Oryza sativa Japonica Group: one gene and its partner. The protein of the gene in region 1 binds, or shares a complex with, the protein of each later gene. Links are inferred from orthologs where the notes say so. Each region holds a gene or a part of one and is shown on either strand. Other genes may lie near its edges.

Region 1 (3,842 bases):
CAAAAACACTAGTAATTCTATTCCTCATTGGAACTGTTGCTGTTGCTCCAACGATTCTGAAAAGGAAGAGAATATACGAATGATGCCACTAAAAAGCATCTAAACAGTGTATTAGTAGAGCACTCCAGAAGTGTATTAGTTTTTTTTCCCTTTCTTTGTTGATATTGTATACCTATTCAATTTAGCTGTAGAGATGTAGTAGTAACATGATGAATGTTTTCCTCAATAATAGATGACGCTAAGCTGTTGCATCTGTTGCCCCAATGTTCTTATAAATCCCCACGTCCCAATTAACGATGCGGTGGAACTATCTGGTTGTTGTGGTTTTACAGTAAATCTTACTGCTCCCAATTGGATGGGCAACCTTATCCGTCGTTTTGAAATGATGTGTTATTTGCCACCAATTGTCCTATTATCTCCATTTATTTTATTTTCACTTGAGACATTTCTGCAAGATGATATTCAGAACGTTCCCCACAGATTATCCTAATACAAAATGCAATACGAATTAAACTTACATTTAGTAGTACCTAAACTGTTACATCTAGGATTATAAACGTGCTGAAATTCTTTATCCTCCCACAAAAACCCCAGAAATTTATATTCAGAGGAAGCTTATGCAGTTCTTTATCCTCCCACAAAAACCCCAGAAATTTATATTCAGAAGAAGCTTATGCAGCATAGCTGATCCTAAAGGCTACAACATATTCTTCTTTTTTTCCTAGAGAGAGGAGAATATTTTCTTTCGTGTTTACTCCCTCCATCTTAAAAAAAAGCTTAAAAAAAAGAAAGTCAGGAACATAACTTAAAAAAGCTTTAAAAAAAAAGAAAGTCAGGAACATAACTTAAGACTGTGTTCGGGAGGAACTCACCTCTCGCGCACGTAAAACGGAGCGAAGCATTTTCTTATGATTAATTAAGTATTTATTAATTGTTTTTGAAAAATGATTTTTTAAAAGCAACTTTTGTGTAGAAATCTTTAAAAAAACACATCGTTTAACCGTTTGAAAAGCGTGCATGCAGAACACAAGGGAGATGTGTTGGAAAAAGTGGGAAAAGAACACAGCCTAGTACTAACTTAATAGCCTAGTACTAACTTAGGGTGTGTTTAGTTCACGCTAAAATTGGAAGCTTGATTGAAATTAGAACGATGTGACAGAAAAGTTGGAAGTTTATGTGTGTAGGAAAGTTTTGATGTGATGTAAAAGTTGGAAGTTTGAAGAAAAAAATTGCAACTACGGCGTTATCTAGATATGGAGTACTCCTAGCTTGTTCTTTTTTCTTTTTCTTTTTTTAACAGAAGGAGTAAACTAGCGACTTGACCTGTTTGGGCCGTACCCTGCAAGGCCCAACCCAAGAAGTCGCCGATACAGTGGTAGCCTACAGGTGCGGCTACCTTATCGGCTTCCTTCCCGTTGGGTTCTATCCGAGACAGCACCGAGAGCTCCGGGAGAGAAGCGCACGCACCTCCGTCCCTCGTCGGGAGCGCAGAAATGGCGACCCTCTCGATGGTCTCCGTCCCCATCGCCACCTCCTCCCTGCCCCTCTCCGCCCGAGGCCGCAGCTCCTCCGTCTCCTTCCCCGTTCCCAAGGTGAGAAGCAAAGCCACCCCTCCCCCCGCCTCCCCCCTCCGCGCCCACTTCTTGTTCGGCCATTTGCTCGCTCGTCCTGTTCCTTGGTTCTGTGCGATTGATATGTGATTCACGCATGACGCATCGTACATCCGTATCACTTATTGCAACTCAACCCCTGGGATCGTTTTGTTATCTTTGCCATCTTGGAGGTTGGGGAGGCTAGTGGCCGTGCTTTGTGTACTACAGTACTAATTTTGAGTATGTGCAATTCAGTAGTTTTTTTTCCGTGATGTTGGAAGAACAGTGTTCCTGTGCAATTTTAGAATTATTGGCATCTGTGAGGAACTAGTATTTATATGCTTGTATGCTTATGAGTTTGAATCTCTGCCCCTAGCACATATCATGTTGGAAGAATGGATAGTGTTACGAAGTAGTATTTCTTTGGACAGCAGAGTGTATATGTAATTCATGTAGGGACTAGGAATAGCAAAGAAGGTTAATTATGCATATAGGATGTAAAAAGAATCGTAATTCCTTGTTAGTACTCCCTCAGTTTCATACTATAAGTAGTCAAAGTTCTTTAGGTTTGACCAAGTTTAAAGAAAAAATTTCCCCACCCCATTATCTTTACTTGCCCAGTCATTTGTAGGCCTGTGCTTTTAACTGTGTTGTGGTTTTGATTCTTTTTTTTTTATTATTGGGTACTGGACAGAAAGGGGGTATTGGTCATGGTGGCCTGCGGATCGAGTGCATTCGTATTGGTGGAGTGGAGATCCCGAACCACAAGAGGGTAGAGTACTCACTGCAGTACATCCATGGCATTGGGCGGTCACGCTCCCGTCAGATCCTCTTGGACCTCAATTTTGACAACAAGGTCACAAAGGACCTCTCCGAGGAGGAAGTCATCACTCTCCGTAAGGAGGTTACCAAGTACATGATTGAGGGAGACCTTGTAATGGCCCTATCCCTTGCTAATTCATCACTTAACTTTTTTTCTGTAATTTTGGTGATTAGTATGGTTACCCTACTTTGGTACTTCCTCCGTTTCACAATATAAGTCATTCTAGCATTTCCCACATTCATATTGATACTAATAAATCTAGATAGATATATATGTCTAGATTCATTAGCATCAATATGAATGTGGTAAATGTTAGAATGACTTACATTGTGAAACGGAGGGAGTAGCATGTTGAAGATTCCTTGAAATTTGGTACCCTTAAACTGATCGTTCTGAAAAAAAAAAGACTCTGTAGTTCTTTTCCCATTTCTGTCATCGTGGATTTATGTTGTGTTGCTAAAATAGAGTTCTGATGTGTTTGCCATGCTTTACAGAAACGGTTTAATCGTGTGGCGATTGAGAGGTTGAAGGAGATTAGGTGTTACAGGGGCATCCGCCACAAGCTAGGGCTGCCAGTTCGTGGACAGAGGACGAAGAACAATTGCAGGACGCTGAAGGGAAGGAGGGCTTCTGTTGCGAAGAAGAAGTCGCCTGCTTCCCAGGAGGAATAAGACACATTGCCATGTATTTACCTTTGGTTCTTTGCCTCTTGTTTATTTTTTGTGTTCTGCTTGACCACGCTCTTGTCTGGTATTATGAGATTTTATGTTGGTGTCGTCATAGATGAATCACGGGTTGTGATCTGTCACTGAAAAAGTTATATTTGTCACCTGTCTTACATGAACTGATGCTAAATTAAGGTTATACTATGTTTTTCAGTCCATCATCTTGCTGTCTCTCTTCTGTTGTCATATCTATGCTTGACCGACCTGTTCCTGATGAATTAACGTATCGCCAGTTTTCTGTCCATTTGTTCCACATGCCACCGTCAGATCTAATGCCTTGTTAACTTTACAAGCTGAAAGAGGAGTATCAGTGTAGCTGAATAATAATATTAGGAACCTGCCTTGCTGATAGCAGCAGACGGGGCTTTTAACTATTTGCCACTCTTACGAATGGTGCTTAACGATTTGCTACTAGACCCACATGTCATAGACACATGAGGGCCCACATGTTATTGGCAGGGTGTGGCAAATCGTTAATTGCCATGTCACAAGAGTGGCAAATAGTTAAATTTCCCGCAGCGGACACCAGTCGAGATTTTGGTTTTTTGTGAAGAGATGATTTAAACTTGAGTTACCAATTACCATGATTACCATGCGTGTGGTTGGAACATGGAACTTTCTGGAGAGAGCTGCTCGGCTCAATCTTGGCTTGTTCACTTTGTTGTCCAAATCAACCATACCAAATTTTGTTACATTTCGGTA
Region 2 (2,301 bases), on another chromosome or scaffold:
TGGAACAAATGACTCTAATTCGTCCACGCCTACGAATCAGTCGACATTTTGTACAAATTTTACGAACAGAAGCTCTTATTTTCATATTTCCGTATTCCTTTCTTAAACTATGAATTTACTCTTTTGGAAAAAATAAGTCTCTTTGTTTGAATTTTAGAACTTTGAATTTTTTACCCTAGAAAAAAAAAAGAAAAACCTAACCCTTTGAATCTTTGGTATCCTTCAAATCTTCGGTATCCTTCGAGTCTTCGGTACGCTTCGAATCCTTATGGGGAAGTCTATAAATTATACGCCCCTTGCTTGAATCATAACGACTTACTTCAATTTTGACCCTATCCCCCATCAGTATTCGTATAGAACTAGACCGGATCTTTCCTGAAATATAGCCCAGGATGATGGTGTCATTCTCTAGGCGAACGCGGAACATTCCGTTGGGTAGGGCTTCCATAACTAAACCCTCGAAAGTAATTTTTGCTTCTCTCGGGTTTTTTTTTTCTCTCCTATTTTTCTTTTCTGTCATATTTTTTTTTCTCCTATTTTTCTTTTTTTATTTTCAAATAAAAAAACGTTGTATTTTTGTTTGAAAAATAGGAAGTTCAAGATAGAATTTGGGTACTATAACTATAGGTGGGGCGATTACCGCTATAGGCGGGCGATTACCATATATAACATAAGACTTCTCCCCCAATTCTGTTTAGTCGAGCTTCTCGATCTGTCATTATACCTCGAGAAGTAGAAAGAATAGCAATTCCCATTCCGCCCAAAACCTTAGGAATTCCTTGATAGTTGGCATAAATTCGTAAGCCAGGTCGGCTGATACGCTTTAAAAAGGTTCTAGTTCTATATATTCCCTTTCTAGTCTTTCTCTTTTGATGTCGCAAAGTTGAAACCAAGAAATATCTGTTACTTTCCTGATGTTTCCGAACACTTTCAATAAAACCCTCTCGTAGAAGTATTTTAACAATGTTTTCGGTAATATTTGTAGATACTACCCGAACAGTTCCTTTTTTATTCATGTCCGCGTTTCTTATAGAGGTTAGTAAATCAGCAATAGTGTCCTTGCCCATAAGACTCTAATTCTAGGTTCCTCCTAATTTTTCTATAATCAACATGTTCTCTTTTTTCTTTTCGTTTTGGATTCTAAAGCATATACGTGAAACACAATCTACTAATTTTTTATTTGATCTATATCTTGTCTACTAGTATTTATAATACTTCAGGAGCTAATGAAACTATTTTAGTAAAATTCAATTCTCTCAATTCCTCGGCGATCGCGCCAAAAACGCGAGTTCCTTTTGGATTTCCTTTTTGATCAATGATAACCGCTGCATTGTCGTCATAGCGTATTATTATACCGTCTTCGCATTTGAACTCTTTACATGTACGTACAATTACAGCTCGAATTACTTCGGATCTTTCTAGAGGCATTTGGGGCACTGCGTCTTTGATTACAGCAACAATAACATCACCAATACGAGCATATCGCTGATTACTAGCAGCTCCTATGACTCGAATACACATCAATTTTCGAGCTCCACTGTTATCTGCTACATTTAAAAGGGTCTGAGGTTGAATCATATTATTTTGATTTCAATTTGTTATTTCAATGCAAAAGGATGAAAGAAATATTGTCTTTCCAGAAAGAAGAACCTGGTTTTTTATTTTCAATACTACTTTTTTTGGGGGGTTATATTTCTAACCGAAGAAATTGACTTCGTATGGGCATTTTGCTGGCAGCTATGGAAATAGCTCGTCTAGCTACAGTTTCGGATACTCCGCCCATTTCATAAAGTATTCGACCTGGTTTAACAACGGCTACCCAATATTCGGGGGATCCCTTTCCCGAACCCATACGTGTTTCGGTCGGTCTTATTGTAACCGGTTTGTCGGGAAATATACGTACCCAGATTTTTCCACCACGACGTGCATATCGTGTCATTGCTCTTCGTCCTGCTTCTATCTGCCTCGCCGTAATCCAAGTGGGTTCAAGTGCTTGAAGAGCATATCTACCAAAACAAATACAATTGCCTCGGTAGGATTTTCCCTTCATTCTTCCTCTATGTTGTTTACGAAATCTGGTTCTTTTGGGGTTATAGTCGATGGTTCTCTCTTAGTTCCATCTCTACTGCAAAACTGGACATGAGAGTTTCTTCTCATCCAGCTCCTCGCGAATCAAATGAGAAAGTGTGCCAAATTTCTCTAATTCCACAATATTCTAAAATATTACGGATAGATACACATTAATAGGAAAGGTTAGGGTTTTTAATATTGAATTTATTAAAATACTAAAATATATAGTCA

What was found.
Region 2: small ribosomal subunit protein uS13c (region 1) and rps8 share a complex: the UniProt entries of both Arabidopsis thaliana proteins name them as parts of the 30S ribosomal subunit. The link is inferred for Oryza sativa Japonica Group from reciprocal best matches to the Arabidopsis thaliana genes EMB3137 and rps8.

What each region holds. Positions count from the first base shown.
Region 1 is NC_089037.1:29,173,651-29,177,492, forward strand, and holds small ribosomal subunit protein uS13c, read left to right. Parts: upstream 1-1,399; 5' UTR 1,400-1,493; coding exon 1,494-1,592; intron 1,593-2,286; coding exon 2,287-2,526; intron 2,527-2,909; coding exon 2,910-3,086; 3' UTR 3,087-3,301; downstream 3,302-3,842. Other genes in the region: uncharacterized membrane protein At4g09580, read left to right, coding at 1-83. UniProt on the Arabidopsis thaliana protein: Located at the top of the head of the 30S subunit, it contacts several helices of the 16S rRNA.
Region 2 is NC_001320.1:76,042-78,342, forward strand, and holds rps8 (ribosomal protein S8), read right to left. Parts: upstream 1,068-2,301; coding exon 657-1,067; downstream 1-656. Other genes in the region: rpl36 (ribosomal protein L36), read right to left, coding at 1-85; infA (translation initiation factor 1), read right to left, coding at 197-520; rpl14 (ribosomal protein L14), read right to left, coding at 1,207-1,578; rpl16 (ribosomal protein L16), read right to left, coding at 1,688-2,089. UniProt on the Arabidopsis thaliana protein: One of the primary rRNA binding proteins, it binds directly to 16S rRNA central domain where it helps coordinate assembly of the platform of the 30S subunit.